Linked DNA regions of Macaca mulatta. The protein of the gene in region 2 interacts with the protein of the main gene of each other region in a pairwise test. Links are inferred from orthologs where the notes say so. Each region holds a gene or a part of one and is shown on either strand. Other genes may lie near its edges.

Region 1 (3,194 bases), on a different chromosome or scaffold from region 2:
TAATTATTCGGCTGGGCGCGGTGGCTCACACCTGTAATCCCAGCACTTTCGGAGGCCAAGGCGGGCGGATCATGAGGTTAGGAGTTCAAAACCAGCCTGTCCAATATGGTGCAACCCCATCTCTACTAAAAAATACAAAAATTAGCCAGGTATGGTGGCACGTGCCTGTAGTCCCAGCTACTTGGGAGGCTGAGGCAGGAGAATCACGTGAATCTGGGAGGTGGAGGCTGCAGTGAGCCCAGATTGCATCACTGCACTCCAGCCTGGGTGACAGAGTGAGACTCCGTCTCAAAAAAAAAAAAAGTATAATTATTCAATCAAAAAACTGCTGTATTAATTTAGGGAAATGATATTCTCATAAGTCAAATTTTCATCATGTAATTTTAAGCTCCATTCCTTTCCATATACAGAAAACTACCCGTGGGGAAGAAACTGGTGAAATGGGATCCCTCCTCTACCAAATTCTGCCTTCTAGAGCTAGGTAGGGAATTTTGCTTCTCTCCAAAGTTGAAGTTTCGTTAAGTTCTTGGAACCCAAAGTGTGAAAATTTTACTAAGTAAAATAATTTAACTCTGTGTGTATACAAAAAAATTAGCCGGGCGTGGTGGTGGGCACCTGTAGTCCCAGCTACTCAGGAGGCTGAGGCAGGAGAATAGCTTGAACCTGGGAGGCAGAGCTTGCAATGAGCTGAGATCATGCCACTGCACTCCAGCCTGGGCAGCAGAGTGAGACTCCGTCTCAAAATAAAAGGCTAAGTAATGTGGACACAACATGATATTAGGCTTTATTTGAATTTAAAATCTTGATTCCATCCAGGGACATTTTTTACCCAAGCACCTCAGAGACTGGCTTAGGGTTTTTCTTGAGAAGACTGTACAAGGCTTCTAATCATACGCAAACCCTCCACAGCCCACGGCTCCAACCCACAGCACCTCCTGCAGTCCTGGAGGGAAAAGGGATAGTAACATGAAGTGTCTGAAGATCTATTTCACCTCTTTTCCTTGTGAATCGTGACATTTTAAATGCATTTCTTGACAGGATTCTATTTTGAAAGAAGGATGCTCAATCTGTACCTTTTATGCTTGTTTCTTCTCCATCAATAATATGTCAGTCAACTGCTTGTCGGAGACACTTAGCTGCTGACAAGTCCTCATAACCTGACTAAGGTAAACTGCCAAGAGATGCTTGCACTGGAATATAAAACACACACACCTATTAGAAATAGGCAGGGCCGAGGCTGGCCAGTCTAACCAAGATTTCTCATTACCATCTTATTTGGCAGGAAAAGACTAGAGCACACAGATTACAGGGTCTCTAACTGATTGTCTAAAAACTGGACAGGCCGGGCATGGTGGCTCATGCCTGTCATCCCAGCACTTTGGGAGGCCGAGGCATGTGGATCACTTGAGGTCAGGAGTTCAAGACCAGCTGGGCTGATGTGGCAAAACCCCATCTCCACTAAAAATACAAAAATTAGCTGGGCATGGTGGTGCACGCCTGTAATTCCAGATACTCAGGAGGCTGAGGCATGAGAATCGCTTGAACCCAGGAGGTAGAGGCTGCAGTGAGCTGAGATCACGCCACTGCACTATAGCCTGGGCGACAGAGCCAGACTCCATCTCAAAAAATAAATAAATAAAAACTGCAGATAAAGATAATGAGACAGGTGTATTCTCTTTAGAAATCAGAGTGGACAAAGACAGACTTACTTTGCCTGCTGCTTTGGAAAACGGCTTAGATCCATCAGGCACAAGGTATGTAACCCATGGTGAAAACCAAGACTAGCTGCGCTCCTCACTTTAGTCCTAAGTGATATTTCTTCCTTGCCTTCAGAAAGCTGTCACAGCAATGGCTAACATTCCTTGAGGCACTATGCTGTGAAGTGCTTTCCACAGATTACCTCACTGAAATCTGACAGCTCCCTAGGAAGACAGGTATTGTACCCAGATGCTCATCAGAGTCTCTAGGCTACTCTCTTAGCTACTGTGTTATACTTCTGGGGTTGGGGGGCGGGGAGTAGTGGCGAAACTCTTGCATATATTGGCCTGTACACGCTTCTGGGGAGATGATTATGTTGCAGCTGATGTCAGAGAACACAGCTTTATGTTGCAGCTGATGTCAGAGAACACAGCTTTAGATCCTGAAGGGGCCCTGGTTCAATCCTGTCTCTTGCAGTTGAGATAAACTTCCGGCACATCAGTTATGAATGTGGTCTCTTGTACAATGGTATACCCAACTTGCCAGCCAGGTCCCAAGATGTTTAAGAAGTTAACAGTGTAAAAGAAGGGAAGAATGGAGTGGACACCATTATTTGCTTCTTTGGCAAGACTTAAAAAATAGCTGCCTGCTTTCAGGAAGGTGGCGTTTTTCCCTTTGGAATAAGGTGTGTATGAGTATGTCCTGTTTCTGCTTCATGATCTGGACTCTGATGAAATTGGCAAAGGCTTAAAGGAATAGGTGAAGGTACTCATGCCCCATGTGAAGGTCAAGTGTGGTGTCAGGCTGTCTTACAGGTAGTGCAAAGATATACGACATGGCTGAAGGTAGGATATGCAAAGTTGCCAACATCGAATTTTAGTTCATACTTTTATGGGGCCATCTAATTCCCCTTTTTTTACTTCTCAAAGCTTCACTCATGATCTTTTAAATAAAAATTCAGGAAATTGATGTAGTTCTAAAAATGACATTGCATTTTGAGAGGCTAAACCCCTAAGAGATGACTAACTGAAGTCAAGGACAAAAAGCTACCATTTGTTTCAACATGTAGTAAGATTCCCATTTTGTAAAATAGTTAAACCACAAAGTAAGGCCAATTTCTCTCTACATTCAACTACAGTGGGAAGAGCCTTCCCCGTCCTCACCAGGATGCTGTCACTCTTCCGTAGCACTGAGAAGGCAAATGCAGGACATGAACAGTAATGACAAGAAGCCAGACACGTGTATGTTTTACCAGAACTTCCAAGCACCTACAAAGAAAGGATAGATGGGATCAGACCTCAGATGATGTGCTCGAAAAACCACCTCTTTCCCTTTTTATCTATGTAGACTCAGAGCTGCTCTGCAAATTGCACTGAGAAGAACTGCAGTTATGTTTTACATGAAAGACGAAACAACTTCTCTTCCTTCAGCGTGCAGACTCTCCCTTCCTCACCTCAGTGCTTACCTTTAGGACTTCATATAAAGGAATTGAAAAG
Region 2 (3,828 bases):
CCTGTCTCAGCCTCCCAAGTAGCTGGGATTACAGGTGCCAGCCACCACGCCTGGCTAAGTTTTGTATTTTTAGTAGAGACGGGGTTTCACCATGTTGGCTGGGCTGGTCTCCAACTCCTGACCTCAGGTGATCCACCTGTCTCGGCCCCTGAAAACACACACACGTGCCAGGACATGTGTGCAAGAATGTTCACAGCAGTAAATAAGGCAATCTAATGAAGAAATCAGGGTATAGTCACCCATGGAATTATATGCAATACGGAAAAAGGAATGAACTAAAAAAATGTAGCTGAATCTTAGTAACAACGTTGAGTGCAAAAAGGAAGTCTCAGAAGATTATGTTTATCATGAAACTTTTTTTTTTTTTTTTTTTTTTGGGAGTCTCGCTTTGTCGCCCAGGCTGGAGTGTAATGGCACAATCTTGGCTCACTGCAACCTCCGCCTCCTGGGTTCAAGCGATTCTCCTGCCTAAGCCTCCCGAGTAGCTAGGATTACAGGCACCTGCCACCACACCCAGCTGATTTTTATTGTATTTTTAGTTGATACAGGGTTTCATCATGTTGGGCAGGCTGGTCTCCCAACTCCTGACCTCTGGTAACCTGCCTGCCTCAGCCTCCCTAAGTGCTGGGATTACAGGCGTGAGCCACCACGCCCGGCCTGAAGCTCTTTTTATAAAGTTTAAAGCAACAAAACTAAACAATATATTGATTGGGTACAATAGATACAAGATAATGCTATACTTTTAAAAGAGAAAAAGCACTTTACATTGTTTAGGTCTTTGGATCTGCATATGTCCCTGAGGTAAGTAGCCATGGGCAACTGAAACACAGAGAGGTGGTCACCCACCAAAGCTCAGGGCTGGCCTCCAGAGCTTGAACCCTTGCCTGAGCTGGGGTCACCAGCCTGGGTGGGCCATGGAGCAATCATCATTTCTCCATCTGATCGGAAAGTCACCCACCACTCTGTTCTGGGGCCCAGCCCGCCTGGATCCAGGCAGGCTCGGAGGCCGTGTTCTCCTGGACCTGGTGCATCTGGCTGCAGCCAGCACTGGGCAGGAAAATACCGCTGGAGCAGTGCCAGGTGCAGGACGTCCCCACTATCTGCCTCCTCCTGGGTCTGGAGGGCCACCATGAGCCCACAGTCCCGGCCAGGCCCAAGCCGGTGGCTGAAGTGGGCAGCTGTGTCTAGAAGTAAGGCAATGAGGTAGGCGGCTTCCTGGGGCTCTGGGTCTTCCGCTAGGTACTCTTCTAGGCCATCGAGCAGCAGAAGGGAGGGGGCTGGCCCCGGGGCTTCATGGGCAGAGCACAGGAGCCGGAAAAGCTCTCGGGTTGAGGGTGGGTACTGGAAGCGGATCTTCTAGAAGGAGAAACAGAAGGAAAGGGCCGGATTCAGCACAAGAAGCCAGACTGCTTGCAAGAGAACCCTGCCTCCTTGCATACTTTCCTTGGTTCCAGGATGAACCAGCTCAGAGTGGTTAAATATTCTTGTATTCGTCCCTTTTTCCAGCACTCATCACTGCCGAGTATTAGTTGAGGGCAAGTCATTTTTGCTTGTTTTTGGCCAAATCTCTAGGGCAGTTTTTCCACGGAAAACCGTCCCCCAGCATTGCATTGTCGGTCTGACCTCATCCTTGACACCAACAGGAGCCAACTCTGGTCCTGAATGGACCCAAGCTTGGCCCCGCCCCTTGATGGGCCTGACTTCACCCTCTGGGCACCGCCTCTTGCTAACACCGCCCATCATTGGATGGGCTCTCACTTCAATCTTAATTAAGCTCCGCGTGGTGCCACCCCTCACTGCGCCTGCCTGACTCCGCCCCATCGTGGCTGCCCTGGCCCGCCCTTCCACCGTCCCCTCCATGGGCTTGTCTACCTGTCACTCAGTAGTCCCGGATCTACTCCACCATTGGCTAGAACGCCTCCACTCCCACCGCACAGTTACCTGGAGTCGCATTGGGTCTAGAGTCGTTCCGGTCCCGCGGGGCAGGCTTTGTAGAGGCCTCCGTGTCAGGAAGAGGACTGGGCCTTGGCCCTCCCCCGCCGCCTCTAGGGCCGCAGCAAATAGCAGCGCTGTTTTTCCAGACCCTGGTGCGCCGAGAAGCAGCAAAGGCGGTCCGGCGGAAGCCGTGTTCTCCTCCCCGGACCAGGCCGCACCGTCCCTGGTCAGCACCCGCCTCAGCGTCTCCGCCATTCGCCGCGTAGCTCTGTCCAATTGGTGGCTCTTTCCCAGTCTTAGTCCCGCCCAAGTCGAGGCCGCTTCGGTACAGTTCACTTAGTTTCTCTATTGGTTTAGGAATCTGTCCATCAAAACTCGATTCCTCTGGGGAATGAGCGAAGGGTTAGAACCTATGCGGAGGAAAGGGTGCATTCGAGGGAAATAGGGAAATAAGGCCCTTCCTTAAGGGAGGCTGCTGGGGGAACCAGCACGAATACTGTTATTGTCAGCTAATGAGACAAATATAAGGATTAAGAATTGGAGGAGCAGACCAGAATGAGTGACATATTCTTTAAAGTCGCCTAGCCTCAGTTTGCCCTCCTGTAAAATGGGGTTTATGATATCTCAGAGGAGTATTGTGATCGGCATGTATTTGTGTGTGGTTTTGCTGATGTCATCCAATGACAACTGAGAATTGAAGAGGGGGATGAGCTGTGTGCTTGTCTTTCTGTGCACCTGAGTATGGGCAGGAGTGTGTGTCTGGGGACACAGGCTCAGGGACACAGCCGTCCCCGAAAGTCTGTGAGATGAAGGCTCTCAACTTCCTCACTGGCTAAGGGGTTCTGTGGGGCCTTCCTTGTGGTGCGGGGGGAGGGCAGGACCGCAGGACAAAGAAGGGAGCGGGAGAGACAAAGAGACAGGCGCTGAAACACTGAAGGAGACATACAGCAGGGACAGTGTTTGTCTTGTTCACTTCTGTTCTCCAGTACCCACAATAGCACCTGGCACATTTGTAGGTTCTCAAATACAGGCTCGTTAAGACAATGAAGGAAGGGAAGTGGGATTGATGAGAAACAGGGAGAAAGGGAGGAACAAAGTGAATGATCGTGATCCCTGGCTGGATCTTCTCACCCAGACTTCGTCCCAGAGCTGCCACTCACGCCTGTGTTGCCCTGGCAACCTTGTCTCCTGGTAACTCCAAAGTGGTGCCGTTGCCTGGAGACCCAGGGGCAGGGAGAAAGTGAGATTTCCTGGGCTTTCTCTCTCCCTCTGGGACCAGAAAACAGCTCCACGACATCCCCCAACACACCCACTCACACAGCTGGGCACCCTCACACCCCTCTACACACACACACACCCACCACGGCATCTCTGAATATATTCTATTTTCAGAATCTCCATCATGCACATGCTCCAACCTTGCCCTATCCTGACACAAAGCATCCCATACAAACTCTGTCCCACATTCATCCCCCACACCCTTTCTCTTGCAAAACACGTAACTATGACATTGCCACTACACACGCAGACACACACAGTGAAGCACACCGATACACTGCGCTGTCAAACACCCTACCTCAGTCCCCATCCCCCAGCAGATACACAACCCATGATTCACCTCACATTTCAACACTCCAGATGCACAAACAGGCCTGGTATGGTGGCTTATGTCTGTAGTCCCAGTGCTTTGGGAGGCCAAGGCAGGAGGATTGCTTGAGGCCAAGAGTTCAAGACCAGCCTGGGCAATGTAGTGAGACCCCATCTCTACAAAATACTTAAAAATTAGCCAGGTGCTAATTTTTAATATCACTGGGCGCGGTGTGGCTCATGCCTGTAATCCCAGCACTTTGGGAGGCTGAGGTGGGCAGATCATGAGGTCAGGAGATCAAGACC

What was found.
Region 1: the proteins of SWSAP1 (region 2) and ZSWIM7 interact in binary tests that used the Homo sapiens proteins (3 or more experiments, as listed by UniProt). The link is inferred for Macaca mulatta from reciprocal best matches to the Homo sapiens genes SWSAP1 and ZSWIM7.

Annotation. Positions count from the first base shown.
Region 1 is NC_133421.1:18,147,636-18,150,829, reverse strand, and holds the end of ZSWIM7 (zinc finger SWIM domain-containing protein 7), read right to left. Parts: intron 2,967-3,194; coding exon 2,862-2,966; intron 2,238-2,861; exon of another isoform or gene 2,138-2,237; intron 2,106-2,137; exon of another isoform or gene 1,971-2,105; intron 1,191-1,970; coding exon 1,077-1,190; 3' UTR 1,074-1,076; exon of another isoform or gene 1,073-1,073; intron 944-1,072; 3' UTR 760-943; downstream 1-759. UniProt on the Homo sapiens protein: Involved in early stages of the homologous recombination repair (HRR) pathway of double-stranded DNA breaks arising during DNA replication or induced by DNA-damaging agents. Required for meiotic progression, hence for fertility.
Region 2 is NC_133424.1:12,109,122-12,112,949, reverse strand, and holds SWSAP1 (ATPase SWSAP1), read right to left. Parts: upstream 2,206-3,828; 5' UTR 2,191-2,205; coding exon 1,942-2,190; intron 1,357-1,941; coding exon 853-1,356; 3' UTR 505-852; downstream 1-504. UniProt on the Homo sapiens protein: ATPase which is preferentially stimulated by single-stranded DNA and is involved in homologous recombination repair (HRR). Has a DNA-binding activity which is independent of its ATPase activity.